Linked DNA regions of Struthio camelus. The protein of the gene in region 1 purifies or fractionates together with the protein of each later gene. This does not show direct contact. Links are inferred from orthologs where the notes say so. Each region holds a gene or a part of one and is shown in the gene's direction. Other genes may lie near its edges.

What was found.
Region 2: the proteins of KDM5B (region 1) and PAX9 purify together in Homo sapiens (affinity purification with western blotting, with the first as the bait; 3 studies listed by BioGRID). This does not show direct contact. The link is inferred for Struthio camelus from reciprocal best matches to the Homo sapiens genes KDM5B and PAX9.

The regions. Positions count from the first base shown.
Region 1 is NC_090965.1:2,924,948-2,940,296, forward strand, and holds the start of KDM5B (lysine-specific demethylase 5B), read left to right. Parts: upstream 1-7,993; 5' UTR 7,994-8,227; coding exon 8,228-8,365; intron 8,366-15,349. UniProt on the Homo sapiens protein: Histone demethylase that demethylates 'Lys-4' of histone H3, thereby playing a central role in histone code. Does not demethylate histone H3 'Lys-9' or H3 'Lys-27'. Demethylates trimethylated, dimethylated and monomethylated H3 'Lys-4'.
Region 2 is NC_090946.1:56,058,528-56,074,587, forward strand, and holds the start of PAX9 (paired box protein Pax-9), read left to right. Parts: upstream 1-9,614; 5' UTR 9,615-10,097; coding exon 10,098-10,101; intron 10,102-10,889; coding exon 10,890-11,516; intron 11,517-13,817; coding exon 13,818-13,960; intron 13,961-16,060. UniProt on the Homo sapiens protein: Transcription factor required for normal development of thymus, parathyroid glands, ultimobranchial bodies, teeth, skeletal elements of skull and larynx as well as distal limbs.

The DNA.
Region 1 (15,349 bases):
GTAGCACGACTGAATTGTGGTGAGGAGGGTGGTGGGTTTATCTGTGGCCATGCGTTGTGTCTGCCCTTTGCGATAGCAGGCTCTGCAAGAAGGGCAGAAGGTATAGCCTCCTCCAAGTGCCTGTTAATGCTGCTTCCACTCACCCTGTAAAGAAACTGCATGTGTTTGAATTCAGATACTTTTGGGGTTAAGAGCTGTGATGGTACTTTCCATGTCGTTGCAGCAAAGGGATTAGGGATGGGGAAGCTACATCTTAATTTCTAGATATTTTTCTTTCTAAGGGAGAAAAAGGTGCATAGTGTTATGCATTGTGGCAGGCTGCATTTCCCCAGACCTGAGCTGCCCCATTATGTGTTGCCAGGGATTCATAGGTGGGGTTTACTTCCCTAAGCATAGATGTCTAGAGTTTAATTAGTCACCCAAGGCTCTCTTTACAGTCAGTGCAGACAAAGGGGTTTTAGAGTGAAATAACTGACCTATCTTTAGACACCTGCCCTAAGATAGAAATGAATAGGGCCTGAGCCTTACTGACTACTGTAATAATCAGAAAAGTCCCACCTTCTATGCATGTCCTGCCTGGAAGCACAGTGTGCCCCATGCTGCCATTTGCTATTAGCACACTCGAGAGCAAGGAGGTGCAACCCAAACTTGAGTGTGAGTCAGCAGCTCTCTGGGAGAAGTAATGTGTGCGAAACTACCTCAGCTCTGCCTTCCCAGTGCTTCCAAAGGTTGTGGCTTGCTTATCCTTGTTCCTATGATAGCCTGGCCCAGGATTTGGAGCAAGACTTTGCTCGGCCTTTAATAGTAGCTAATGATAGGGTAGGGGACTTTAGTTTATTAATAAAACAAATGCTAAAGGCAGTTGCATAACTGCAAAGCACTTCCATATTTGAACAGAGGCATTCTAGTTTTCCACATGCTTACCAGCTGTTCTTACCTGTCTATTGACATAGTCCCCACTAGGAGCTGTGTGCAGCTGTGGGACTTCCGTCCTTGGTCAGCCAGCTCAGTTCTAGCCCACAAACAAGGCTCAGATTTCCTGCCTACCCCTTCAACGTGGCCCCTCTGCATGGTTTCCTGTAGCTGACACATTCAGCCTGCAATCTGAAGAGTTAAGAGCTAGTGGTAGTTGTTAGGCTTCCCCAGAACACACACAGCATCATACAGATACGAAGGAGGAATGGTGCGTGAGCCAGAGCAGGGCATGAAGCTCAGCTTTTGGAAGAAGTAGCAGGACATTTACTTATTGAAACTGATGCTTCTCCTGACTTGTGGCAAAAGGTGCCAGCAAAGGACTGTACCAAATTCTTCATCTAAGAATGCTTCTGTTGAGACTTGGACTCTGAATTGGCCGAGATGCAATGTGAGATAGTCTGAGACCCTCTACCATGTCTACAAGCTGAAAGCTGTGCTTACAAAATTTCCAAGCCTGGTATATCCAGAAGCTCCCTGCATTTCTAACCAGGATCCCCAGACAGCAAAAGCTAGACACTAATAGTCTGTGCTTTCAACAAGGGTTGACATGCATCAGCATCTCTGGGGGCAGCTGGCTCTTTCTGGAAAGCTAAACTCTTTTCTAGCCTTGATGATGAAATTTAAATGGCTTTGCAAGTTCTTACAGGCTGCTGGTTTGTTTGCCCAGGAAAACTGGTTTGGTTTGATCTGTCATAGATTCTGCTTACTAAATCTGTTCCCAGGAACCTATTTTCTTAGAGCTGAGAGGCTCAGCATATTTTCCTCCCTGCCCTGTATTGTGTTCTAAACACATAGTATTTTAATTAGGCCAAACTCTGTGCTGATTAAATGAATGCTTTGGCTCAAAGGAGTTTCCTTTATGACACACATCTGACTGTAAACTCCACATGTGGTACTAAGCCTATGGACATCTTGGTCTAAAATTGTGTACTGGACTCCCATGGGCAGGATCTACTCCAGCTTGCTTCTAGGTGATTCTGGAGTGAAGCCTGAGGTAATGTTAGTATTTCTCCTGAGACTGGCTAATTGCTGAGCCTTTGGAAGCAGTGTGTGTTTTGCTTTTTCAGTGTCCTAAGCACAGACAGCTCTTTGTGCTTGGAGGCCCAGGGAATGGGCTTTCCTCATCTAAGTTTCCAGTGCTCTTTGTCCAGAGCTCAGTGGATGCCAGAAGAGGTGGTTGCAATTAGAACCCTTGTTGAGTTGCACAAACTAAACGGGGATTCCCAGCTGCTAGGATCCTTCTGACTGAGGCCTAGTGTCTTGCCAGCTGCTCCCCTTCAAGAGTGGCCGTTCTTTGCCCTGGAGTTAACATTTCTGTAGTGTATGCCTAGAAACAGATAGGACCTGATTGAGAGTTAGCAGATACCAATCTGACCGACTTAACTGTTGGCTTAACTGGAATGACTTGAACTGGTACCTGGCCTTTGTCCTAAAAGGAGAAGTGGTCTAGGATAGCCAGAACATCTAAATAAGGGGGAGAGATTGAGCTTGCATTATTTGCACTGTCTAAAGGTCAGATATCTAACCCCATGCTTGCCAATATGGGCTCTGATTATAAACAAGCAAAATAGGCAGTGCCACATGGATAATTACTACTGCAGAAGAGTGAAGGGGAGAGGCTTGAACTAGTAGGAAAAATCCCAGTTATGATTCCCATCCATCCCAAGCAAGAGCAACTTAAGAAACGAGACTAGCAAAACATCTCTGTAGGTTGATAGGACTTTCTACAAAGAAAGCTGTACTGAGGCAGAATGGGAAGTGAGACTCAGCATTAGAAAAATGTGAAGAACAGTTTTGGATGGAACCTCAGGACAGAGCTCAGGCAGCTAGGCACAGAAAGGCCCCTGGATGAGGAGGGGAATGAGGATAGAGGAATTCTGTCAGGAACCTCCTGTCCCAGGGAAAGGAGTACTTAGTAGCTTTCCTTCAGCTAGAAGCCTTGATGCTCCTCACTGTGGGCCAACTTGATCCCTTACTTGATATCTTCTCCAAGTCTTTGAGGGCTGCCAGCCCTCCTGGGTCTAATTCTGTAACTGCAGCAAATGAGAATTTCTGCTCACTGGGAACATAGAAAACAGGCTCAAAGAAAGCCCATGTAATGAGGTTTTAATTAATGAAATAGTCAACTGAACCATCAAGGAGGCATGTCTGCATTCTCATTCTAATTGAGTAAAATCTGCTTTTCTTCAACTTGTGCTTCTGCAGTTCTTGGGGAAATTCAGCACAGAATCCAGAGCCATTGGTTTCTAAGGCAAAAAAGCCACGTTAATCCCCAGAATACAACTAATGCTAAGCAGATGTCACAGCAGAAGTAGGATACAAGAGAAAGCAGCGTGCAAAAGTTTTCATTTGTGTTGATGAAGCATTTGCATTAGCAGGTAGCAAGGTGGAAAGACAAGCAAGATGCCTGAAGGGGGCATCCCTCCAGGACTTAACTGTTTACCTTCAGAAACCTCCATCATTCCAGCCAGACCCGAATCACCTCACCCTCCCTTCAAGGAACTTACTTTTTATCATGGCTCATCCCTTGATAACTCATCTCCCACCTCAACTCATTTTAAGATCTTTGTAGCAAGTGTGTGTTCTCTTCTGTTGTAACTTCCAAGGTAAGGCACCTGTTTTACCTTAGTATTTTCCCATCCGAGTCCCTCAGGGGGCCTTTGTACCTGACTATGTCAGCAGAAATGATCCTGCTAAACATGGTCCTTCCAGCTCTGACTGAACAAGTCCTAAGAGAGTCGTACAGTGAAGAAAGTCTTCTCAGTAATATCAGAAGCCACTGATGTTTAACAATCCTTGAAACTCCTGGGGAACTTTCAGACCCAAAGTCACAATTAACCATTGCTCAAAACATTCTCCTGTCTGTGCTGGAGACGCTTGAGTTCTGGATGTGATGCAGAGCATCTGTTTGAAGAGGATTAAAGAGCTTAGTTTTCTTTCTAGATTGTTTTGAAAGATGATTTGTACTGGAGGTTCCCTAGGTATAAAGTGCAGGTATAAAAAGGGGTTGGTATGTATTTAAACTTGTATACAATTTGAGATTTCTGGCTATCTAAACTTGCTATTGCTTTGTCCAAGGAAGCAGATTCACTGACTTCTGCAAGCCGTAGATAAATTTCAGCAAAGGAAATGAATGGTAGGAGCCTCTTCTCAGAGCTGATGAAAATCTAAGGTGATTCAAATGACAAAGATCTCTCAGGGGCTCTGACAACCTGAGCATGGTTGTCTCCCTAAATACAGGTGAGGGTATGACTCCTGGAATTGAGAGCATATGTGCAAGGGAAGACTTTGAGGAAAAAGCTCAGCGCTTAATGCTGACATCAAATGCTGCACCTTCTTGAGATGCTTGCTGATGCAATGCACTAGTCAAACCTAAGGCCTTGGCCAGAAAAAAGCTTCTCAGCCCTTGACACCTCAGACAGAGGTGCTGTGCTGCCTAGGCTTTAAGCAGGTTGCTCATTTATTGATTCATTCTGCAGCCCTTTCTCTCTGAGAGACGTGACTCTATCTGTGCAGAAGCGCAGAGCTGGAAGGTATCTAATAGTCCTTTATATTTCAGCTTTGCTGAACTCTGCATCATCCACTAGATTTCAGCCAGGAATTGGTAAGCTGGAAGTTCAGGCTGTATTTGCAAGCGCCATCAGCTTTCTGTCGATTTAAGGGATTCGTGCTCCTAAACCATCTAGCTGCTTACATGCTCAGAAGCCCCCTCTCCATCTCAGGTATATTTGACTTTTTCAACCAATGCATTCAGAAAGTAGCTAACACTTATATAAGTGAAAACCTATTTAGATTTTCAATAACACTGAACAAATCTTATTTGAAGGAGCAAAATTTTATATCAATAATTGAAGTTGTATTAAAAACTGCAGGCATTGTGTGTGTGTTTAAGTGCTGGATCTTAATCGTGAATTGCAATAGCAGAGAGCTTTAATTTGGTCTGGAACAATTATTAAAAATAGCACAATGCTGCTTTACGTATTAAGCTACTTAAGTGTTCTTAACTTAAATCACTCCATCCCCTGAAATATGCTGACAGGAGACAGCTAGAGGCTGGGAAAGCTATTGCGTTTTGGCAGTGCATGGGACCATTCTTCAGACAAGGTGCCTCCAGAAGATGCATGACTTGAGCTTCAGTGGAGAAGCAGCTGTAGTAAAATGGGCGTCTCCGTAGCACAAACAGAGGCAGAGTCTGCAGGAAGAAACTGTCGGTGGGATTCCTGGGTTTGGGTAACAAATGCAAAGAAATTCTTCCTGAAGACCGGAAATACAATATAATTGCTATTACCGAGCCCAAAAGGATGACTTAGTTGGGTGTATGGAAAGCCCTACTTGTCCCCAAGGAAAGATAGAGTATGTTAATGGTGGGAGACGGGTTGTCGCTAGATTTTGAAAATACAAATTCCGACAGCGGCAGTTAATTCAGCTGCGCAGGATGTTGGGTACATATGGCTGGTTAAGGCCAACTAGCAAACCTGAGCCGGCGGTAGGGGCGAGGGTCTCGTAGAGACCACAGTCAACAGCGTGGAGTTAATCTTTAACCGCCTGCTTCTCCTGTGTGGAAGGGGAAAAACTGCATTGCCAGGGCAGCGTGCGGCAGGAGAGGGTGTGCCAAAGGGCTCGACTAGGCACATTATTAATTAAAAAAAAAAAAAACCTCTACCGGTTGAGCCTGTGTGCTGTCAGTGAGTGACCAGCCGGCAGTAGGGGAGGAGCGTGGAAGGGGAGGTGGTGCTGTGCGGTCCCGGGAGCTCACGGCAGCCTGGTGCTGCTCCGGTATTTCTTCAGTGATCCAGGAGGGAGTACGAAATAAATAGCGATTAGCGAGTGACACAGAGCTCGCCAAATAATTTGGAGAACAAAGCACGCGCAGGAAGCAACCTGAATCATTTGGTGTAAAACTAGGCTTGTTCGAATGAAGTATGTCGCAGTGTAGGCAACTGCGAAATTACGTGGCGCCGGGGAAGGCGGCCGGGCCCTGCCGGCGGCGCGGAGAGCGGGACCCGGGGCGGCGGCGGCGGCTCTGAGGCGGCACCAGGCGGGCGGGGCCCGGCGCCCCCGCGGCGCTGCTCGCGGCCGGGGCGGGGCGGGGCGCAGCGCGGGGCCGCCCCCGGCCCGCACGTGCGCTACGTGCGGCGCCTGCCGAGCGGGGGGGAGAAAGGGGTGGGGGGGGCGCCGCCTCCGCCCCCGCACCGAGCCCCTGCGGGGGGGGCAGGGCCGCCTCCCGCCCTCCTCAGGCGCGGGGGAGGGGAGCCCCCTTCTCCCCGCTGCGGGGGGAGGGGCGCCTCACCGCGCCCCCGCAGGGCGGGGGGGAGCCCCGCTCACCCCGGTAGCGGGGGAGGGGCCCCTCGGCACGCCCTGCCCCGCGCCCTCGGGGGCCGGCGGCCCGCGGACAATGGGGCAGAACCGCCGAACAAAAGGGGGGACGGGACCGGCCGCGGGCACCGGCTCCACCAGGCTATCTGGAACCGGGGGGGGGCGGGTGGGAGCTCCGCGCCGCGGCTTCCGGGCAGCGCCGGGCCGCTCGGGAGTCGCGAGCTGTGACGGGGCCGCGGACGCGGCCGGGACCGGGACCGGGACCGGGACGGGCGCACACTGGCGGCGGCCGCCCCGGGCCAGGACGAGACAATGCGTCCGCGCGGCGCGGCGCGGCACCGCCCCGGCCGGTGACGCGGCGCGGCGCAGCCAATCACGGGGAGCGAAGAGGCTCTTTAAAAAAAGAAGCGCCGGCTGGAGGTGGCTGTCAGCTGTGGCGGATCCCTCCGCGCATGTAAACAGAGCTCCCGGAGGGGCACCGTGTTGGAGGCCCATGTGCTGCTCGCCGACGCGCGAGAGTCTTAACGGCCCCGGGGCTCCCGGGCCGGGCGCGCCCCCGGCCCCCGCCCCGCCGGCACACAAAGAGCAGCCCCTGTAGAGGCACCAGGGGAGGGGGCGGCCCCGGCGGGGAGCGGGGGCGCGGCCGGCCCGCCCCAAGGCGGCCTGGGGCTGTGAGGGGGGCGGCAGGGAGCGCGGGCCGCGGGGTGGGGGTCGGGGGTGGCGCCCGCATTAGCCGTGCTGACAGGCTCCGCCGTTGAGAGGCGGCGGGAAGGAGCGCGGGCCTGGGCCGAAGGGGCTGCGCAACAAAGGAGCCGTTGTGCTTTGCGGGGCCGGGCGCGGGCAGGGAGGGCGAGCGGGCCCGGGGAAGGAGCGCCCTGTCCGGAGCGGACATCTTGCGCGCTGGGCGGGGAGCGGAGGGCTGAAGCCTCGCTAGACTTTGACCCTGCTCGGCTGAGAAGCCAGGGGAGAATTTGGCTTTGCTGGGTGTGACTTCCGCGGTGAGGTCCTCAGGGGGAGGAAGGACGCGTTTCTGTGGCTCGAGCTGGCGATGCTCCATAAAGGAGATCTCTGAACGACAGGTTTTGAGGTCTCAGTCCATCTTCTTAATTCCTCAACACCGAATACAGGGTGCATCTCACGCAAGATGCAGCGGCAACTTCCTAAAAACGAGGCAGAGTCCAAAAGAAATGGTTTTATAGCACCTTCATGATCAAGCGGGGCAATGGGAAGGCAAGCAGCCGAGGAAGGAGGAGGATTGTCGAGTAGTTTGTCCGGGCTGCTCTTCCCAAACTGAACTCGAGGAGTGCGCTGCCTTTTCAGGCGTAATGCTCTACTGCGCAAAGAAACAATAACAAGCGCGTATTCGCTCTGCACGAACACCACAGAGGAAGGAAAGAATCGCCCATAACGCGTGGCCTCCCGGCCCTCCGGCCAAGGCCGCGGCGTCTCCAGCGTCGTTTCTTGTCCTCTCTGACAAAACTGCCGGGGCTCCGCCGGGGCGCCCCGAAGCCGCTTTATGAGCGCGGCAACGCTTAACCTTGGGTGGCCATGGCTGACCCGGGGGAGCCCCCCGTCGCCCCCGGAGAGCGAGCCTGCCCGCGGCCCGGCCGTGCCTCGGCCTGCGGCCGGGGAAGGGGGTGGGGGGCGGCCCGGCCGCCCCGGCGCCCCCGCACAAAGACACGCGCGGGGCGGGCGGCGCGTGACGGCGGGCGCGGGGGGAGGGGTGGCAGCCAGCCCCCTCCCTCCCCCCGCCCAGGCCGGGGCGGACTCTTTTTCTCTGCCTCTCGCTCTCCCTCCCGGCGCCCCCCCCCCTCCCTCCCGGCGGAGGCACACGTCCCGTTCGAACGGCGCTCGGCGGCCCCCAGCGTCTGTTGGAGGATTGTTTGGAGCGGCGGTTGGCGGCGGAGCGGCTGCCGGCGCCCCCGCGGCCCGGGCCATGGCCGAGTTCCTGCCCCCGCCCGAGTGCCCCGTGTTCGAGCCCAGCTGGGAGGAGTTCGCCGACCCCTTCGCCTTCATCCACAAGATCCGGCCCATCGCCGAGCAGACGGGCATCTGCAAGGTGCGGCCGCCGCCGGTGAGTGCCCGCATGGCGCCGCCGGGGGAGACGGCCTTTGTGTGGCGGCCCGGCCCGGTCGGCACCGGCGGCCACCCCGTCGCCCTCCCTTCCCGCCGGGGGCGGCCCCTCACGCGCGGCCCCTCCGCGCAGGTGACCCCGGGGCAGGTGGGGCGGTGCGCACCGCGGCCCGGGGGTGGGGGGCAACAGGCCGCCCCCCTCCTCCTCCTTCTTCTCCATCCATGTAAAGTTTAAATGGCCACGGGCCGGGGGTCGCGGGGCTGGAAGGCGACCCGCACGCCCCTTCTGTCAGCGGCAAAGTCGCTCCCAAGTGTTGGAGTTGCCCAGCAGGAAAGTCGCTGGAGCGGCTGCCGGGTGGGTGCGTGCGGGGGGGAGAGGCTGGCCCGGCCGCGCTGCGCTCCCCGCCTCGTCGGGGAGGCCGAGCAGTGCCTTCCTCGCTGCCCCCGCTGCTCGGCCCCCAAGAAGTTCCAACTTGGCCAGACCCTTGGTCTTGGAGCCGCTGCTGGGGCGAGCAGTCCCCGTGCAGAGCCCTAGAGGAGGCAGCTGCTTGGGTGTTGCCCTCCATGTTGGCATTGTAGTCTTGTAGGGCTGTGGAGTCCTCTCCTCGCCTCTGCTTGGCTCCACGGTGGCCTTCCGCTGGCTGCACCTGAGGTCTGGCATAGTTTTTATACAGGTAAACTATTCCCTCAAGTTGAACAACATCTAACTCTGCAGCTGTGAGTTTGACTGGTATCTTTGCGAGCTGAATCCTAGACAGACATGGCCACCATTTTAGAATGCAATACACAGTGGGAAGAATAATAAGCCTTCATCTACATCGTCATCATCTGGACTGATGGTGTAATATGTTCAAAATTGTGGTGTGAATTCTAATTTCCTTTTGTTAGTTGACTCTGTTTGCTGAGAATTACTCTAAGACCTTAGAAGCATAGTTTGTGTAGTCATAATTCTTAGTTCTTTTAAAGGGGCAAACAACTGTTCTAGTGAGGAGAGGGGCTTCTTAAAGTAAAGATCTAATGAACGAACGTGTGTGAATCATCTTTATTTTGGGAGAAGTGCTCTTTCTGTAAGTAGAGTGTAGTGCAAGTCTGGGGTGGTGCAGCTGGCTTGAGGTAGTTAACATGACGGCAACAACTAGAATGCTAAACGGCTATTGAAAGCCCTAAATCTGATCCAGTAAGAGGTGAAGCTGACAAAACATTTACGTAGACCGAAGTTTTGCGAGTGATACATTGAGTTCGAAGAAATAACATTCAAAATCACATGCTCTTCAGTTTCATGTTTTGATCATTGTTGGGACTCTTGTTGGTAACCATCCCTTTCCTACTGAATTAAAATAAAGTGAAGCAACTCGTCATGTTTTACTGTCGTGAGATGAAAGAAATGGGTTTGTAACAGACCGAATAATGTGAATCTCATCAGAGAGGAAGATGTTGCTGTTTTCCAGAAGAGTCACAATTTGCGATTGTATGAATGTGTACAAGAACACCCCTGAATTTATATCTAGGTAGAATACACTGATACCCCTTTTCATGCAGTTGAGCCAAATACTGACTCATAGCTAAGGGGGTAAGATGGTTTTCATTATACAGTCAGCACTGAACTTATGTAATCTTTTTGAGTAGAAAATCTTTTTGGATTGTATGTTGTCAACAGTATTTCAGCAACTGTGAGCAGAACAGAATTTTTTTTGAAGATTTTTTTCTTTTGTGATTTAGTTTAAATATCTCATCAATGTTGTTTGGCTGCATGTATAAAAAGCTAAAAACCCATAATAAATGCTTTTTGTGAGCTACACTATCTATTAGAGAGTCATAAATGAAAAGCTCCCCTGAAGAATAAACTACCTATTACAACTGCATTCTCAGCATACTCTCATCACTGCTTACTAAAAAGCTAATATCTGTTTGTATATGTGCTCATATGTTTCACTGAACATGTTTAGAGCTAGAATGAAAACAATTGAAGCTGCTAAGGGCACCTAATGGTTACATAGGGCCTGTTTTTCATGAGAGCTTAGCTACCATAGTTCTTAACTACCCTAGATAATTACTTGGATGACTTGTGCGTTTTCGTTCACTGGCCTAGCACCTAGAGGGAGCCCTCACAAATCTACCATAGAAAGTCTTGAAGTTGATGTCGTTTTTGGCCTTCCTCCTGAAAACAGGAAACATAATAAATATGTAGTTATTGTTCTTTCCCATAAAATCAAGTGGTTTGCGGTGCTGTAAGCTACAAATCATACTGATCTTTTCACAAAATTATGTATGTTCCAACTGAATGCGTTGTTCAGCAACAGCTGATGTTTGGAAATCTTCGTATGTCCAGCGGAAGCTTCTGCCTGCATTCTTACTCAGATTACATGCTGGGGTTGCTCTACAGCAAGCAGGCACCGCGGACTGTCAGGATCCACAAGAAATTCATAATTTGATTGCTGGCCTTGCATTATTTTGGCTTAAAGTCTGTCACCTTAAACTTCATCAGCAGATGAAGATGAAGTTATGTTTCTGTGTCTGCATTGCAACCACAGGTTTGTGGAAAGTAGTTGTTTGTATGTGAGACCAGTGGTGCCCAACTGTGACTTCATAAATTCATCATGAAGTCTTTATTCCTGGTAAGCCAGCCCTGATATTTCAGCACCAGACCACAGTGAGGAGAGTTCCCTCTTCTGTCATAGGGAGGGGTCATTTCTTTCTCTGGTACCTTTCCCCTAGCATTAGCTGGGCACCAAATAAGCTTGGGAAAAAAACATGTGTGGTAGCTTGTCTTTTGGTGAAGGTTTGGAGGACAGTGAACTGTTTTGTGAGGAGGAGATCATCAAGGTATCTGACATACTGTAGATGTCTGGGTGAAAGAGCTGATGGATTCTGGATGCTAGTTTCATGCTCACAGGATGAAAGAATATCCAGGAATATAACGGAAGGAGGTATGATTTCTGCGCGGTGGTGCTAGAATTTCACAGAATTTTTACCTGAGCGCCCAGAAACTTTCTTACTCCTCATTCTAGTTCAGTTCATTCCAGTCATCTGATGACTGATGACTTCATTTTGCTCTTATTTTAATGATTCTGGGACACTGTAATCTCCATGTTAACTGCCGTTGACTCGAAACGACTATCTTTTGAAGGATGCAACAATAACCATATTCAGTGACTCGTGTTTTATGTGACACGGAAAAGCAAGGTGAATGCTTTTTATCAACAGTCTCGAGCATAAGTAGATAGTCCCAATGGCAGCAAAGTGCTCAGGCCAGAAGAGAGGCTTTTTTGGTGGTGGTTGCTGCTTGAAGTTAATGTGCTCCGTAGATCAGAAATGCTTTGATTATGTGCTGTTGAACCAAAGGTAGAAAGTTGATAGAGAAAAGTGGATGGCAGACGGCTTGTTTGTAATACATCGCATGCCGTGTTGCAGTTAACTCTTCTTTTATGAACTGAAAACACCATTTATTATGCTCTCCTTATTAAATGGTAAGCTGCAACAGTGGGTTATTGCAAAATTTGGCATGCCAAATGCTGACCTTATATTCTGGAAGATTTTGAAAGCACTGTAAATTATTGGTTAGGGGCATTTAGAGGAACAAAAAAAAGTATTGTTTGAGAACAGTATCATTGTTGTTTGAAGTAGGTATATTAATGAAAGCAAATGTCTTAACAAATTTGCGATGTGGCTTCAATAATAAAAAGAGCATATTATGTAGAGCATATTATGCTGTTCCTACTACAACTTTTATTTGGAAATGGAATCTTCCTTTCTACTTGTAGAGTTGCTTCGTTGCAGTGAAGAAATGACTAATAAAGATTACTTAAGCCTTACTTACTTGCTGTATTCATCAGTTTCAAAATCCAGTTTACACTGGAAGCCACTTACTACTTGGACTAGAAAATACAGGACAATATATTTAAAATGCTATTTTCCTATAGCCAAGCATTAAAATTGAGGAATTTCAGACTAAATGTCATCGCTTTAAAGAATGCGGGTATGGAGAAGTGCAGTTAAGGCCTCCAAATAACCTTAAGGGTGTCCTGATAAGACTAAGTGTTTTAAAATTGGAAGGTCTGTGTTAGCATAGCTGAAATCTTGACAGAATTGACACTGAAGCTGTCTAAATTATTGACTCAGTTTTTCATTAATCCTGGAACATTGTAAAATTTTCAGAGGGCCAGAGGAAAATGAATGGGTCCCCGTTTAAATCCTTTATACAGGAGTTGTTAGCTAACTCCGGGGTAGATTAAGAGTTGATATAGTAGTGACTAGGAACTGAAAAGGTGATTGTATGAAATATGATTATAGGAAAACTGGTCTTGTCAATCAATTTTATTGTTTTCTGTGAGACTGCATATTTGGTTAAGTTGGTTTTTTTTGGTCAGGATGTGAGATTTATAAATTAATTTACAATCAATATTCTAGTTACAATAATTAGTATTGTGCAAAATTGATATAACGCTGAAGGAGTCACAGATAATTTCAACTGTTAATGAGAAATTGTAATGAAGGATGTGTTTCTAATGGTCTTTCAGAATCTCAAGCCAACAATATCTAATGTTCATTAAAGGTCTAGAAGAGCAAAATAAGTTATTTCATATAGATTGCAGGTTTGTGGTGGGTAGTTCAGTGTTATAGAGTCATCCTGATTGCTTAATAAGCTGCGTTTTGTGAAACAATAAGCACTTAAGTAGAACTCAGTATGAGGTCATACGTTTAGGAACAAAGGAGCATAGGTCACTCTTAGAGGAGGGGGGATTGTAGAAAAATAACTGTAGAGCCTAGGGGAAACCAGTGTGATGTTAGACTAGCTGCTTTGCCTAAATCAGTGAATGCAGCTGTTTAATTTCTTAGTGAAGAATAGGAAGATGATTTTTACCTCTGTAGTAGCATGGTAGCGAGCATGGTACATTCATTTGAGATTTTCATGCTTTAAAAAGAAGACTTGATCTAGAGAGGGTACAGAAAAGTGTCAAAATTTCTGCACATAAAAAAATTAAACTTTGAAAAACTTATGCTTACCGTAGTGTGAGTGGTGAAGTCTTAAGCTGGAGGATTTTTAAGAACTGAGGCTGTTCTTCTGGGACGTTTTTTTCGGGAACAAGGCTGATTTAAGCAGTGTCTGTTCCTGGCCACTCATTCGGCAGCTTGGTTGCCTGCATCGCTGGCCTGATGAAGGAACAGATCCGGACTGAAAACTCCTTCTGCTTTCTGCCTTTCTTTTTTATGTATTTGTTTTTGTTTTTATGGAGAAAAATCTCCATTAAACAATGGACTAAAAGCAGTTAACTGTTGGAGCAGCTTTATTTAGGGTTCTGGGAATTGCCCAATGCTGAAATTGAAAACTATACCATAGTTAAAACAGGAATTAATGTAAAGAATTCTTATAACTTCTCCTAAACAGGAAGTTGATCTTTGTCACGATGGTCCCTTCTGATTGAATAGTCTACAGAGGTTCAGTCTGTTTATTTTATCAAAAATAAAACAGCAAGATAACTTGATTCCAATACGTAAGCAAGCTTCACAGGGAGAAAATAACAAGTACTACATCGTTCATCAGTCTTGTAGAGGAAAGCTTGCAGCCACTGGTTCTTGTTATGCGTAAGCTAGGCTCACTTGAATTAGATATAGGACATGCATTTTTAACAGTGAAGTGATCAGCTGTTAGGAAAAAACTAAGGCTAAGGGAGGTGGTGAATATGCCACTTTCTGACACTTTCAGATCAAGAATATGCTTTTTTTTTTTTTTTTTTTTTTGTTTGGGAAGAGATGTTCTAGTGCTCTGATTTGAAAAAGTTACTGGTTTACATGCTGTCAGTTTGTTACGAAGAAAAACAGATCCCTTAAGCTCACTAGGAAATCCTTACTTCATGTTCAAGCCAGGGATCATACTTTGCAATTAGGTAAGTTCGGAGTAGTTTATTTACCTATCTCCCCTGATCTTAAATTATCAGGGAAATATGAAGAAGGAACATCATATTACTTAACTATTGTGTGTGGCATGGTGCGCTGCCAGTGATTTATTCCCTGCACTTCAAAAATGCTGAAAAATCAGAGTGCACTTGAAGAATCATGAGAATATCCTGTCCTTGAATCAGTGCCTTCCAGTAAGGGATTTTAAACACTCGCTTGATTTAGCTCATGGAAAATTTAAAATCAAACAGTTTAGTCTGAAACTATTTATGTGGGGCAATAGTGGTGGAAGGTTTGGACTTCTGCGGGTTTGTTTGTTGAACTTGACATAAACAGCGTCAGTTAGCTAGAAGGTGAAATTAGAGTTTCAGGCTAAAGACGTTCCTCTTTCCCAGCAACAAAACTAAAGTTGCCGGTGAATGAAATGAATTCATGCCTGCATACCCATTAGGATAGGCTGTCTTTCAAACCCAAATTGTCTGGGAATTGCTGGGTAGAATTCTGTGCTTGTGTTAGGTAGGAGGTCAGGTTAAGGGCTTCCAAAAGCCAGGGAGAACTTAAAAGGATCATATAACCTGCCACCCTTACGTGTGTCTAAGCAGATACTTGTCATTGAAAGTAGATGCTTTTCAAGTGAAAATGCATCTAAACAGAGAACTCCAACTGAGAGGTCTGTAAGTAGTTTGGGTAGCAGCCTTTTGCTGTTACAGAGATGGGAATTTGTAGAGAAATCCCCCAGGCAGAGGTAAAATAGTAGTCAGCTGAGATACCAGGTTGTCTTTCGATTTATTAGCTGCTTGATGAAATCAATAGAAATGTCTAATAGCTTGTCTATGCGTACAGTTATTCTAGAATGGCTATTGTACTTTAAAATCACGTCCTTCCTTAATATGCGTTAAACTGGGATTCAAATCCTGGTTTGAAAGCTGCCAGTTAAGGCTCTGAAGAGATTGTTTCTAGAACCGTCTGATCAAAGCTCTTTGGAGACGGTCATCTGTGCTGTCAGTGTGGCTCCCCAGTCGGACACATCTGAGAATGGACATATGGGATCAGACCAGGTCCATCTACCAAGCGTTCTGTCTTCAGCGAA
Region 2 (16,060 bases), on another chromosome or scaffold:
CTGCCCCGGGTTGAGAAAACGCAGCCACTGGAAAAGGGGGGCTGTCGATGGCTGCAAAATCGCAGGAGGACAGGGGAAGCCAAAAATCCCCGTGGCTGGCCCCGGTGGCAAGGCACGACCCAGATCTTCCCTGTTTCATCTGCTATTGCTGCATTTTGGCAGAAAAAACACATAAAATAAAAGCTTCTCTCAAAAGTCGTTTTCCGGACACCGCTAGAAGCCCGAGCTGCAAACGTCTCGGCGCTGAACCGCCCGCTGGTGCGCAGCGGCCGCTTTGCCTCTCCCCAGGAGTCACTTACGTTTGATGAGGACTTGTGAGGTGTAATTAAAAGTAGGCAGTTAGAGCATCTGGGATCCCCTGCAGCGGGTGCGCGCATGTTTCTAGACGGGCTGGGATCGCCCCTTTGCTCTTCTCCCGTGCCTCCTGGTGCGCCCTCACGGGGCATGCAGTGCCTCCTTTTGTAGCTTGCAAAAAACGGACACAAACTTCAACGTAAAACAGGGAAAGGTTGCTAAATCAAGGCACTGAGTTCTTCCGTCCTCCTAGAAGCAGCCGTTCTTCTGCAATGGAAAAAATACGCATATTCAATACACTGATGTGCATTAAACGTTGTAACGTCTCAATACTGTAAATGCATTGGATCGGTTTTATCCCCTCAATTAATACATTGCAGGTGAAGAAGAAAAATATCTTGCAAACGAATTCGAGACGGCCCGGTGCGAACTTCATCCCCCGAGACCCGCCTTTCCGGGGCCACGGGCTCCCCGGCAGGACCGCGCTCTGAGGCCGGCTCCGCCTCGACGGTGCGGAGCGGCGGGCGGCGCGGGCGGCGGGCACCCTCCGCTCCCCGCGCCAGCTCGCCCTGCCGCTTTGCCGGAGCAAAAGCGCCAGAGCAGGTTGCTGAGGTTAATTTCAATTTGACAGTTGCATGGTGTGGGGGGGAAAAAAACCCGACACTTTCATTTCCAAACGTGCCAGTCCTCTTCGCTGCCCACACACACACGCACACGCACACTGTGTAAGCGGGCAGGGCTCGACCCCGCACCCGACGTGTGGAAAACACTGAGTTTCACCGCAGAAGCTTTAAACTGGGGCGTCAGGAATTTTTTTTTTAAGAAAACAGCAATTGACAGTGATCTCCACGCTCTGTTACGTCTTTGCTGTTTCACGTCACAAATAACTTATTATCGCGTACATGAATAATGTCGCCAAAGCTATTAAGAATGGGGCAAAAAGCGCGGCACTGAGGTCCCTCGGGGGCCCGCGGAGCGCAGCTACAAACCGGCGCAAGGGAGCAGGGACTGCGAGGTGACAAAGTGGAGCTCACTTTTCTCATCGCGTTGTTTTTGTTTGTTTGTTTATTTTGTTTTTTTTTCTCACAACGAAATGAATCCCTCAAATGGGGAATGAAAGAGTTTTCTCTAGACTGTTAAACATTACAAATAGGCAGAAATTCTGCGGTGCAGCCTGAGAAGCTTTCTTTCTTTTAAAAAACCTGATCGCAGTTCCCGTCTCCTGAACTATCAGGAAACGAGCGCTCCTGATTATGTAACTATGCAATGCAAGGGAGAAAACGCCGTTTCGGTGGAAAACGCTAACAGCCCTTTTCTTTTGCAAATGCCTATCACAGACTTTGTCCCGGTGCTCAAGGGCCCTGACAGTCCCACCTTCCCTGATATTTCCACCTGGATAACCTGCAACGTTCCCCTACAGCCGCAGGTACCGCTGTCCCTTCCTGCGTACAAACCTCAGGTTATCTTGCAAAAATAGTGCATGAATGTAAAGGTATACACATTTTTTTGATAAAGAGTATATGCACATATAGACGCATAGGGTCAGAAAACTTTTAAAGGCACAGGATCTAGTGAAAAAGAGCGCACTTTTAAACTTGATCAGCAAGGATCGCCATCACCGCACATCTCGAGGACAAATATTTACAGTGTCAATTTAACCGTGGGAAAGGATTAGCAGGCGCGAAGTCAAGTGAGGAAACTTCCGCGCCGGCGGGGCCGCCTGCGGGTGCGCGGCCCGGGGCCCGCGTCCGCTGCCCCGGCTCCTGGGGACCCGCCTCGGACCCCGCGGGACTGCACGGACGCAGCCAAGGTGATAGTCCGCTGGCAGCCAAGGCCGTCTCCATTAAAGACGCCAGAAAAGTAGCAATTGTTTTCCCCGGGAATTTCTGAGACCTTCTTTATCAATCGTAGCGTAAAGCTTCACCGTGAGCCAGAGAGCAAGGTTTCGCTCTTGCAGGGCACAGGCAGAGAGCGCAGTATATACACGCACTCATCTCGGCCGCTGCGCCGGGCGCGCTCGTAAATTCCCCGTGCGGGTAGGTGCGCTGGGCTCCCCCCGGGGAAAGCAGGGCGGGCGCTCTGCGATCCCCCTCTGCTCGGCCCCCTGCCGGCACAGAGCCTGGGGACCCTCCAAATGTTGCTGTAGCTTTTGTTTGCGGGGGTTGCCTCCCCCTTCCCCCCCTCCCCCGGAGGAAGGGCTCGGTCCCTTCCACCTGCCGCGGCGCGGAACCGCCTGCGTGTGTTTGCCCACCCGTGCGCGCTCATGTGTGTGCCTGTGCACAGCTCAAACGAAAGCTGCAGGGCAAAGCAGCAGCTTTTGGAGTCCGAATTTCTGCCGTGTGTCCGGGCAGGCGACAGAGCTAACAGGGCCGTCTCAAACGCTTCTGGTTACTTGAACACAGCTCAAAAATCAAGTATTCCTGTAGGTGGCACTGGTACTAGGTGTTGTAGAAGCAAACGCAGAGATGGAGAAAATTGCCTAGAAATTCCCAATTGGTTCCTATAATTTAACGCAGAACAATAGAGGTATTTTTTTCATTTACTCTAAATTCATGTAACATGCGACAAATGAAAACCCGATTGCTTTATGAGAACAAAATATGCTTTTAAAATCTGGCCCTCTGTAGCTTTATGGCCTGGTACATGAGAATTGTCTATTTTCCTATATGTCATTAAACAAATCCTAGTGCAAAGAGAAATTAACTCAGCACCGCTCATTCAAGTCAACTGTTTGCACCAGGAAAGCCCTAATGAGACACTGTCTGGTTTCCAGAGGGGTTGCTAAGAACAAGTGGCGGCAAAGTTATTAAATCTGTCCAAGCAACTAACACATCATTAAGAAACCCCCCCAACCCTCCCAAACTTGACCTGAATATTCCAGCTAGGGTGGACAGTGCAGGGCAGCCGCCCGGCGGCCGCAGCCGGGCGGGAGCCCCCACGAGTGGGACCCCTCGCCCCGCGTGGGGAAGGAGAGGCAGGAGGGAGCGGCTTGGCTTGGGGGGCCACCGTGGGGCTTCGTGGGGGAGCCCACTCTGCGAGGACGCCGTTAACTCTTTGCCCGTTGAGGCACCGCTGTACCTTTACTTCACCTGTTCATGCGTCTGCCGTGTGCTACAGCGAAGTGCAAGCGCCTGCTCGAGCCTTCACTGAAGAGGGTTTGCTGGGGACGGGGGTGGCGGGTGGAGGTGTAAGGTCAGTCACTGCAGAGCAACCGGGTCTGTCTGTCACCTCCTCACTCCCGAGGGGAGCAAAATACATCGCTTCTTGCCGGCGCCTCCACCCAGAGGTGTTCGCCACCGCTCGCCTGACCTTTCACGGAGCTTCCCAGGCCCCGTCTCCCGCGGGGCCGGCGGGGTGGCCCGTCCGCGGCGCCCCGCGGCGCCCGGGACCCGGCAGCGCCGAGGGCTCCGTGGGCCGCAGCGGCGCGGCGCTCTGCCGCCTGCTGCGCTGCGGCTCCGCGGGGCGCGGGCCGCCGGCGGAGCCCGCCGAGGGCCTGGCCTTGCGCCGGGACTGCCTGCCTGGGCACGGACAGGGCTGTACGCTTTTGGCGGAAAACAGGCAAGCGCGGAGCCTCGGGGAACCGCTGCCTGAGGACAAGCGAAACGTTTTCGCTCCAGCCGGGCAGCTGAAAAAATCCGACACTGCAAGTCAATTTTTTTAACGGGTGAAACGGACCCTCCCTGCTCCTTCAGGGCAAGACCCCGCGGCAAGAAAAGAAACTACTACTTTTTTCAGGCGGCTGTGTCCTACCCAAAGAACATGACATTCAAAAGTATTATCACAGGGGAGGCTGCCTTGATTTCTTTGTATCTGCCGTTTCCCCCCTGGTTTCGGGGTCTGCCACTGCCAATGTGACTCTAAGACCCAGCTGCGTGTTGCTCGCCATTGCTGCCTAAGAGTGCCCGAAACGGTCGGACGTGGGTTGTTTGTATTTGATGAACCTCTGAAAAACAAAACTTCCTCCTATTACGCTTCCGTGCTCCGATCTGTCCCTGACTGCGAATCGATTCGCGAAAGTTGAAATACCCACACAGACACACAAACAAGGGCACTGTCCTCCCCACTCCCTACCCCCAGAACTGTTTGAGGACAAGACAAAATCTGAAGTTCTTTCGTGAGCATTTCAGAGTTGTTGCAAGTACTTCCATGCGCTTTTCAATCTTTTGTTAATTGAATTAATGTAAAATATCTCCCTCCCCCTGGGATTCGCATATACTTTCGCATATGCATGCAGGCAGCGTATGTGAACACAAATGTATAGGCATTTGTTTTTTAGTGAGCTAAAGTAAGGCAGTGGGCAGCAATAACAGAAAAGACACGATATCTGTACCAAAGAAGGATCGTCAACGTTTCCCGGGACCATTCTCAGGAAGCCTTCTTCCCCCCTAGAGGGGGAGGACAAATGGAAAACGAGGGCTGCCCCTATAGCAGGGAAGGAGCCGGGGGTCGCCAAGGGGCTCGGAGGGGCTGTGGGAAGGCGGCGGTCCCTGTCTGCAGCCCCACGCTGGCTGAAGGGGTCATCTCCTTCGGAAAAAGCTCCCCTCTCCTTCAGAGCCACTTCCAAGCAAGGATCTGCCAGGCACTTTCTTGAAGTGAGTTTGTCCACGGCTGCACAGGAGGGTGGACACACCTGAAACCTGGGGTTGAGGCCAAGTATTTTCGAGGCAGCAGGCTCGGCGGGGAGAGGGAGAGGGGAGCCCAGGGCCACCTTCCCTTGGAGAGCGCGGGGCGGCGGGTGTCCCTGCGGCTGTGCCCCCGGCACCTCGGGGCCGGTCAGCCCCTGCCCTCACCCCTCTCGGTGGCAAGGTGCCTCCTCTGACCTCCTAAGCTACGCTGCTCTGTCGCGTAAGGAAATACCCATGGCAGCCGCTAACAAGCGAAGGCCCCTTGTTCCTGCATTTAGTTCCTCACATATCGCAGCAAACGCAAGCGATCCTGGGAGACACCGTGGGATCTTCTACCCCAGGGTCTAAGAAACACTCTGTGCAAAATAAAAGCCTCATTTCAAAGCTAGGTGGGTGTCATCTCTTTCTACACCACACGGCACTTTCGCTCCGGGATCGGTCACCTCCAAAGGGCAGGCAGAGCCCTCTCGTCTCGCTCTCTCTTTGAGGGTTATAACGGTCTCTGCGTTTGCCCTAATACCCTCTCTGGTTGCTCACTCCTCCGCACACCGTGTGCTCAGGTATAGCAGCCCTCCTTGCCAGAGGCCGGGGGGTCGCTGCCCCTTCACCTGCCTCTGCCCTGCTTTTCCTTGCCTTTCTTTCAGAGCTGTCCCCAAGCCTCTCTGACGCCGCCACCGCGTTGCCCCCCATCCCTCCCCCTACTCCAAGGTGCTCTTTGCCCTTCGGGTTGTCCCCAGAGGTTCCGGGGGGCTCTCGCGGATCTGCCCTGCGCCCGTATGCCTGGGGCTGGGGAGGAAGGGGGGGGCAGCAGGACGGCTCCCTTCCGTGCTTCTCCTGCCACCAAGGCTCAGTGGCTCTAAACTCCCGCCACATCAGACCCGCGCCTTCCCCACGTCACCCTGAGCAATCCTGCTACCCGTGCAGGGGACCTTTGCCTTCAGGAAGGGTCACAGGGAGGCTTTTTACTTACAAAATATCTTGCGTATGAGCATCCTTCTGCCTTAATAGCTCCTCAGTAGTTACCTCCCCCCACACAGTCGCTGAGAGGGGTTTAGCTTCCTTCCAAAAAATCATTAAAAATCAGCAGCTTCAAAGAGGGGCTGGGAAGGGGAGGGGGGGTGTCACGTTTTATTTGGCTGATTTCTTCCTTCAGTGGGAGAGCAGAGGAAGCTGGAGATCAGTGAGGCACTAAATCACGAGGAGCCTCTACTGAAATACTGGAAGGCCCTCATGGAGGAAAGGCTCTCTCTGAAGGCGATGCACGGAGATGGGAGCTGTCTGCGGAAAACATGCCGAGGTGAGCGTCTCGCTGCCGGGAGTGGGGCAGGCTGCGGGCCCTTCCCCAGCCTGAGCCAGGCCAGAGAGGGCGGGATGCCGCCGTGCCCGGGGAAGCCCCTTCTAGCGGCGGAGGACGCTCAAAGGAGCCCGTGGGAGAAACGCTCCCCGAAGGCCCGGGCGATCCCCTCTCTCCCCGGCCCCAGCAGCGCCGGGGCTGGAGAAGCCGCTAATGCACTTAGGGGGGAGGGTGGACGGGAGGGGGGATCGCCCGGGCCTTCGGGGAGCGCTTCTCCCGCGACCTCGGGGCGCCCCTGCGGCGGAGCGGGGCTGCCCACGCAGGCTCTGCCCAAGCGGGGAGAGGGCGGCTGGGGAGGGAAGGCAGCCGGCCGGCCACGCACCGGCTAGTGCCGTCGGTACACGCGATTTCCTACCGAAAATCCACTCGAGCGAGATTTCTCGAAGGAAAGCGGGCGAGAGAGCCCGGTTAGCCATGCGAGCAAGAAAAGGGAGAAGCCGAGGGGCAGCATCTTGTTTCCCTCTTGTATCCCCCGATAAAGATGTAGCACACGCAGAAGTAACCCCCGAGGGAAAGGCGGGCACCGACATGGGGGGCTCTGACAGCAGCGTGCACAGCTCAGTCCCTCTCTTCAGCACTGCCACGGTGAAGGAGAAGAAGGGGAGAGAGGGGAATCTGGCTCTGAGGTTGCCCTTGCCCGGGTTTCTTTCCGCACCTTTGCGTTGCTTTGCGCAGCCCGGGGGGAGCCCGCGGTGGGAGAGCGGGTGCGCGCCGGGCGGCCGCCTGCGGAGCGGCGAGGTGACCCGCACCTCGGGCGAGCCCCCTCCCCGCCCTGCCCGGCCACGAGTGCCCTTCCCGGGGGGAGGCACCTCCTGCCCCGCTCCCCCTCCTGCCCTCCCCCCGCCCTTCCCCTTCAATTCTTCAATTATTTCGTACCTGAAAAAAGTAATCTCTTTGCCAGGCAGGTCACAAGCGATCACCAGGCTGTTGTATACTGTAATGTTTTCATATTCCTCTCGGCTCCCCCTGCCCTCTACCGACTCACTGTAGTTGTGACCTTTGGTATTTCAGCCCACACTCAGCAGTTGAATGGAAACAAGTTGAGCACGTTCACTTCTGATAAACATTATCCTTAAACCACTAGAGACTCGAGCAGAGTAAACGAGCTTTTCCGACAGGACCACATCAGGAACACACATTGAGTAAGGCAAAGAAACCAAATAGCCAGGGGATCAGAGGCGGGCTCGGGGGTGGAGGGGTGGGAGAGGGAAGGAGGGGGAACAGACAGGTTGGAGAACACGGCGGGGGGGACAGAAAAGGACACGATTGTCAACACAATAGGCACAGATGGGGAGAGAAATTGCCCAGGCAAGGCGAGAGAGAGCAGCGCAGGGTCACATCCAGAGCATCAGAATAACCCTGGGAGGCGGGGGGGCTTCAGGGGCTCAGAGCGGGCCCTGCATCTCAGGAGTCCCAAGGCCAGGCTTACACAAACTGTGTGCCTGGAGATCGCCCCCACTCGCACTTCGCTACTCAGTTAGAGCGGAGTTGAAGAAACAGGAGGAAAGGAAATGTCTGTGCAACACAGGCGGCCGAGGGGTCCCAACATCGCGGTGCAGAGCTGCAGTGCTTGGCTGCGGCAGGAGTCGCCTGGCACGTCCAAAGCTCTCGTTCAGTAAGGCAAGGGGAAATTGAATCTGGAAAAAGGGCAGCCTTGTAAGGGATTCGTCTAGCGATTATACTGTGAGAAGAAGTATAATATTAGTCGAGATCGGAACTTTTATGAACACGCGCTCCCCTCCATTGTTATGCTACATTACATGATTAAACTAATTAAATGCTGAGTCTGGGTCCCACTAGTTCGATACCTTCTCCCTTAAAAATCTCTGAGCAAAGCAACTCAACTCAAAACGTCAAAAAGGGCTAATGCCTAGCAAATGCCCGCGAGGATTCCCTGCGCAGGATGCGATCCCCTCGGGGAGACGGTATTTGCCCATGTGGAGGGGGTGCTTTTATCAAGGCTGAAGAAGCACCACCATTTACAAGTGCGATATTCTAAATGCGTAGTTCGCTTTTCTGAACAAAAGGCACAGAAATTCCGTACAAAATAGTTATTTTTTAATGCCTGCGGAGGAAATAAAAGGATCTGCCGATGTTCCAAACAAATAAAATCATGCCTGCGAAGGAACCACGACCGCCTTCTTCCCACCACAAAACGTCTGCAGCATGCCATTAATTTCTGGGTGATTTCCTATAGCATCCTACTTCTTCCTAATTATGCGTATTCACTGAGATATGTGCAGGCTCTGACATCCAGCTCACTTCATTTGATTTTTACATAAGTATTACTTACAAATATTTCACTTAAAATAATACTCATACAGGGTTCATACGCTTCAGAGACAGCAAATTTATATTTTAGTCGCTGATATTTCGTGCACTCCAGTCAATATATTATTTATTTTAATTTTTTATTTCATTTCTAGATCCCGTTTCTTCGAGGGTCGATTAAAAAATAACAAACAAAAACTCTCAAAACATTCGAAAGAAAAACACGATAAATTCTTATTTGGAGTTAGGAAGCCTCTGATCTCTGTGTAACATGATGTATGTGGGATGCGTGTAAGAGGCTCACACACACAAGCTGGCAGATTAGCCAAACCAAACACGTATCACTCTCTTCCACATACACAAACACACCATGACCCACACATACTTTAATTCCTAGCAGCTTTGTCTATTTTTCTTTTAACTGTTAATACGTAGCAGTGTCTTTGATAAGGGTTGAAATCAGCTGCAAGGCGTTGACATTTTACGGTGCTATATTTTATATAGGGATTACGACTAAACCCGAGACGGTCTTTACTTTGACGGCCGGGGAATATCAGCACCCCGATGGCCAGGCGCCGCGACCTCCGGTCCGTCTTCTCCCGGTGCAAGCGAAGCTGCGGCTGATTTCGCGACCTGCTTGTAGTTCCCGTGGAAAATAACTTAACCTTCATCGCTCGCAACACTCTCTTGCGTTAACCCGTGAAATGTTCATTAGTTTAAAAAAGCTTTATTTAAAGATTACAATAAGGCGGTGGTAAACAATAACTTTCTCTCCGTCACATGCAAAATCAATGTAGGAAAACCGTGCGTGTTTCAAGGCGTCATTATTTTCTTCTGTAAAAGCGCCGGGGAGGGAAATCTCTAGTTACTGGCTATAAGCCCCCCCGTCCCGTCCCCCCTTATCCTGGACAAGGGCTGGGAAGGCCGAAGCGCCGCCGCCGCGGTGCTGCACGGCGGTGCCGGGCGCTGCGCCCTGCCAGCCGCGGGCACCCCAGGGCGCAGCGGCCCGGGGCAGCGTGCCCGCCCCCGGGCACAGAGGGCCCCGGCCCCCTCGCAGGGTGATGCCCTGCCAGAGCGCTAGCCCCGAGCAGCACGGCCCCGGCATTAATTGCACTTTCCGTAAAACTTACTGCCAGGCAGGTATTAAATAGTGATTTCTATTGTACTGGGGACCCAGGTGCCGAGCACGCCTGCAAGCGAGAGCGGAAGGGCCGCTAGGATTGTGCTGTCTGTCATCTCCTCTGGCCATTAGGAGGGCGGCTGGGCGGCGGGGCCGCCCCCGGGGGCGGGCTCGGGTGAGTGATGGGCTGCAGCGCCCTGCCCAGCCCAGCCCAGCCCTGCCCACGTTGCCCTGAGGTTGAAATGCAGAACTCAAGGCTCTGTCTTCGGGAAGCAGACTTCCTTGTAGTCCTTTTTCCCCGCACCCTTGCTACCTCCTCAGTGGAAATCAGAGAGCTAGTGCAGCCGGGAGCGCAGGCGGCTGGGAGCGCGTCTCTGTTGTTAGGTCTCCGTTTGGGATTCAGGGCAGCCTCAGAGGTGTCCTGCTCAGAGGAATGGGTAAGTGGCTGGAAGCTGCAGGAGGGTTCAAGTGCTGTCAAGAGAGAGGGAGCACCCGCGCACCGTTGTGTGCCGCCGCAGCTCCCTTATTGACTTTGCTCGTGTTCCTACAAGTTGTAAGAACACGTTAAGGGTCAGGAGCAGGGAAGAGCGAAAGCTAATGACTGCTTGGTTTATTATTAATGTTATTAGGCGAGAACGAGGGAGGATAGCAGCCGAGCGGATGGCTGGAGCCTGTGGCACGCTGTATATTATTCCTGACACCGATCTGAGCAGTTAACATTTTAGCACGTTTGTTTTACAGCCTGATGTAATTGTGCTGTTAAGCGAGAGGCGCTAACAGCACTAGAAATAGTCTTTAAAAAGTTAGTCGCGACCAGTCTTTCAGAAGCACCGCGTTGCCCTTGCCTCTCCCAAGATTTAGCAGAATTTCCTCAAGTGCTTCCCCCCCCCCCATGTCTTTGAAAAAGGTTTTTCTTTCCTTTTTCTTTTCTTTATTTTCCTTTTCCTGTGGCAATAAAGCTGACTTGTCTGGTGGGGCGATCTCATTTTTCATCTCTGGAATGTGCTTGTTTGGAGTATGCTTGATGCACAGTTTAGAGAGCTTTGACATTTGTTGCTACTTTTTTTTTTTCCGGGGGTATCCCGTTATTTGAAAGAAGTGTGCGGGGAGTGACTGGGGGGGTCTCTCCGAGCTGTGACATCTACCTTTCAATGACGGATAGGTCGGACGCCCTCTTCTGAACCGTTTGCATGTCCAACGGGTGTGTTTGTGTGTTTGCTTGCAGAACCTGCCTTCGGGGAAGTGAACCAGCTCGGGGGGGTGTTTGTCAACGGGAGACCCCTGCCCAATGCCATCAGGCTCCGGATTGTGGAACTGGCGCAACTGGGTATCAGACCGTGTGACATCAGCCGGCAACTGCGCGTTTCCCACGGCTGTGTCAGCAAAATCCTGGCTCGCTACAACGAGACCGGCTCCATCCTACCAGGGGCTATCGGAGGCAGCAAGCCTCGGGTCACCACCCCCACGGTGGTAAAACATATCCGGACCTACAAACAAAGGGACCCGGGCATCTTCGCCTGGGAGATCCGGGATCGCCTGCTGGCTGACGGAGTGTGTGACAAGTACAACGTGCCGTCGGTCAGCTCCATCAGCCGCATCCTCCGGAACAAAATTGGGAACCTGTCTCAGCAGAGTCACTACGAATCGTACAAGCAGCACCAGCCGCCCCCACAGCCGGCTCTGCCCTACAACCACATCTACTCCTACCCCAGCCCCATCGCTGCTGCAGGAGCCAAGGTGCCCACGCCGCCCGGGGTGCCCGCCATCCCCAGCGCCATGGCCATGCCCCGCACCTGGCCGTCCTCCCACTCGGTGACGGACATCCTGGGGATCCGCTCCATCACGGACCAAGGTGAGACGGGGGAACCGGGGCCGCGGCCGCAGTGAGGCAGGACCACCGTGTCTCCACCTGGCTCCTTCCTCGCCGGGTCGGAAGGAGGGTTCACTGATCCGCCTCGAGAAACCTACAGATTTGGCGTATTTTTCCCAGCCCGAGTTAGCCAACGAACAACGTGCCCCGTGACTCGGGCAGATCAGAGGTCCCGGGGATGGGCTGCAGGCTTAGCAGCAAATGTTAAATATCGGGCGTCGCCGGTAGCGCCGTGGCCCGAGACGTGGCAACTTCGGCTGGAGGAAAGGGCCTGGGGGCGGCAGGCCCACGGCCGGGGTGCGCTCAGTCCCGGCCCGGCCCGGCCCGGCCCGGCTCGGCCTGGCCCCCGCACTGCCGTCCCTGGCCCGGCCCGGGCTCGCGGCCGCCCTCGAGTCACGGGAACCTCCTTGGCGTTGCCGAGAAATCCGTTCTCTCTAGTTTTCGCAATCAGGCCAAATTTGCCCAGGCAGGAAGTTCAAATGTCACCTAATTGCTTTCATTCTGATACTTTTGTTTTCCTCCGAAGTGGTGGTCCAGGAAAACGAAACCCTGAAGATTTGCTTCTTTTATCCTTTCCACCTTCTCTCTGTTACTCCGGCTGGAAACTGTGTCGCCTCTCCCAGCCGCTCGCTAGGCTGTGCCGCAAAGAAAGGGACATTTTTTCCATTTCGGTCTCTGCCAGCGAGCTAACAGTGAATGTGGTTAAAACAACAGTCTAAAATAACCTTCGCCTACAGCGATCTCTGTGTCCCACTCTTCCCTCCCAATTAGCAGAAGGGGCGGGAGGGGGGGCTGATTTCTGTTTTCATTGCGTTTTTAACGGCAACAATCCAGTAGCAAATTACTACTCAAGTGTTACAAATACAAATTACTCCTTTATGTATTACAAAATAATTATTTTTTTCACAAAAAAAAGAACAGCTGATTATTTTTTCAAGCAAAATACATACATGCGTACATATACACACACGAACAAATGTGTTTGGGAGCTGAGTTTAGAAAATACGCTCCTGGCAGTCTCTGTTCTATGCCGGAGAGAGGTAGTGTTAGAAATGAACATTACAAGGAAAGAGAACATAACAATTACATGAGAAAGGGAGATTTTTTTAGTGAGTTCCTCTTTTATTAACACCACATTGGCAGGCAGGCCTCTGACGGTGCTGCCGGGTGTCTAGCTATCCCCCCGGTCTCTCAGACCTCGAGAGCTGCATACGTCTTTCTGCAGCGTAAAATCTCACCCCCCCCCCTCCTTCCCAGGGCAGAGCTAGGGCTGCTGAGCAGCCGATGCCGCAGATGGGGGCTGCTTGCCCTTGATTTATAGGATAAACTGACCTTGCTGACATGGAAAGGAAGCCCCTATTCATGGGAAAGTGTGAGATCAGCAGAAAAGGGCGCTCACCGAGAGAGCTCAATTTCTTAAGACAACTTCAGATTTGTGCCTTTCCCCAGCCTCGGCGAGGGGCCGAGCGAGGCGGTGTCGCAAGAAAGCCGCTTCCCACGGCTGCCCGGGCCCGGCGGCTCCGCGGCCCGGCTCAGCAGCCCCGCGGGTTCTTCCGCGGCCGGGCGCGGGCGGCTCGGGGAAACCGCTCCCCCCGCCCGGCTCCCCGGCGTGTCCGCGGAATTTGCCCGGTATTCCCATGGCACGGCCGATGATCGTGAAAAGGATGGGACTTCTCTCTCTCTCTTTTTTTTTTTTCCTTCCCTTTTCCCTTTTTGCTCCTTTCCCCCCCCGCCCCTTTAATTTTTTTCTCAGAAAGTTGTTTGGAGCCTGGTTCATTTTTCAGCCCTATCAGGGTTGTCTCTAACAGAGGATATCGTTTGACCTCGGACACACGGACACAGACACATACACACACACACACACACGAGGCGATTCACGTAAATCTACCTTGGGAAACCCTGGGGGGCATGTGACGGGGGGGCAGCTCTGTCCTGCCAGCGCTGCGACGGGAGGATGAGCAACATCAACCCGCTCTGCGCTTTGCTGGCGATTTACTTCCCGTTTCCATCAACTGTACAGTAGAAAACCGAAGGGAATAGCCGATTCTCTCAGGGGATCCCCAGAGGCTCAGGCCGGACATATGCAAGGTGTGAGGGGCGAAGGAGAGATTTCCCCTTAGCTCTGCCCCGCAACCCCCGTCCCCCAGCGCCCTGCGGTCCGGAGCCCTCTCTGCACTCCCGGGGCAGGTCCCGCTGGAAGAGGGAGCCGTGTCCAGCCCCAGCAAACTGCCCCGCGGCCCAACCAGCGCCTCTAACTCCTGCCTTCCCTGCTGTGTTCCCCAGCAGCGAGTGACACGTCGTCTTACCCCAGTCCCAAGGTGGAGGAATGGAGCAGCCTGGGCCGAAACAGCTTCCCCCCCGCGGCCCAGCACGCCGTGAACGGGCTGGAGAAGAGCTCCCTGGAGCAGGAGGCCAAGTACAGCCAGGTAAAGAGAGAGCGGGGGGCGGGCGGGGATGCACAGGGCGTCTGAGCGTGGCCTCCGGCCGGCCCCCGTGCTGCGACCCTTTCCCGCTGCTCTTGGTTTCAAGACGCTCCGGCCTTCTTTCAGCGGCAGCGGGGTTTTGGTTTGCAAACGAGCCCACGAGCCCATAAGGAGAGGGGACGCCGGGAAAGAGCTTCGCTCCTTCCTTCCCTCCTCTCCCCTCCCTCAGCACAAACAGCAGCCAGGCCCCTGGGAGACCCTAGCCCTCCTTTCTCCTGGCGGCTTTGCCTCACCTGGCTTTGCTGGTGCCCAGCCCGGGCCGCAGGGCTGTGCCTCTCGCAGACGGCAGGGGAGCACCCGCTGCTAATCCTTGCCAGGCGCCGCACTCCAAACGCTGGCCCCCGCTCCCCCCCCCCCCCCCGCCCAACCCGACTAGCCGACACCCGAGAATCGCCGAGCACCTGCCCCTGCAGCCTGCCGGCGGGGCCGCCCTGAACCCCGCCGCCGCGGCGGCCCCGTCGGAGCCGGCCCCGCCGCCGCCGGGGCTCTGCCGCCGCCCAGCCCCGAGCCCTCGCCTCGGCCCGGCGCCTCGGCCCGCGCCGGGGGGCTCCGCGCTGCGCCGCGGAGCGGGGCCGCGCCGCCCCGGCCTCCCCCTCGGCGGCTGCCCCGGCTGCGCGGGGCGCGCCGTGTTTCGCCGCGCTGCCACCGCCGTCCTTCAAGACACACTTTGCACTGTCCGCAGCGAGTACTGTAGGCAGGGGAATAATTTGAAAATGAGGTGTAATTGCTTCCTACATTAAGTATTTTTAAACGCTTAAGTAGGCTGTGAATTTCCTACATATTAATTGCAACATAATATAACTGTTACTTAATAAATCTCTGTCTAAATCTTTGTACTTGGTAATCAAATCCCATGCCAGGAGACAAGCTATAAAAGACTTAACTGTTACTAGTTGGGAGAGCACAGCTTTTGAAAACGTTGCCATGCAGTGGAAACAAATTTCTAAATGTATCAGAGGATACATTCACTGCCCTGCAATTCGTTTGTTACACTTGTAATTAAATCAAGAAAAAACTACCGTCTCTATTTAGCATGTTACCATTCAAGAGCAGAGTTTTTGGACGTATTTGCTGAAGTTCTGTGACTGGTTTTGGATTCCGTACTAAAGAGTGTTCTGTATCTGCAGTTTGGTGCTGAGAGTAGTTGAATCAGATCCTTTCAAAATCAAGATGTTGAGCGTACATCGAGCAAACGCTTTCAAAAAAGTGAATGAGGCAGAATGGGAAATATTGTAGGCCCCAAACACGAGCAACCAGCTTACTACATGTATCACCTTGCAAACGATGTACAGGCCTTAATGGTATCCTATTTGTTTCCCATTACATTCTTACTATTATCCCACTATTATTCTGTTCGTTTCCTCTTACAAATAATGTGTTACGTAGTATAGCCATTAATGCAAAGTGGAAGATAGAATCAGGTTTAGAATTAGATTTAATATTTAACTTTCCACAGTTTTGTTTAAAAGTGAAACAAATAATGCGTCAGCAATCTTAATAAAAATTATGGAAATACCTTGTCATTATCCTGCTAAGAACAGCTGTACCATGGTGACGTTGTCTTAGGTTCCAGTCTGGGCCTTCTGCGCACGTATAACTTTCAGAAGCGAATGATTCTGCTGACGTATTCACAGGATTTGGCTCTGTTAGAATCAGACTTGCCTTAACAGAATATTGAGGAATAATGTTATATAAACTGGACTATTTTCAGTGCTGATGTTGGAAACTTTTTTTTTTTTAACTTGTTTCATTCTTTCAATATGTATGCTTTCATCTTCATAATATGTCACTGCTTTACTGTCAGTATCAGTTTCATTTCAAAGTTTCATTCAGCCTAAAAGGTTACCTGGTATGTGTAACTTAAACATACGGGCTATTTAAACATGGAGCAAATTATTATTAATAAAATGGTATTCATTTATCAAAATATATTGTACAGAGATTTTAAAAGAACAAGAAAGCTAAAATGTGATTATCCAAAATGTCATTTTCAGAACTTTGTACACTCAAAAACGATACGGAGTTGATTTCCACCCCTCCCCC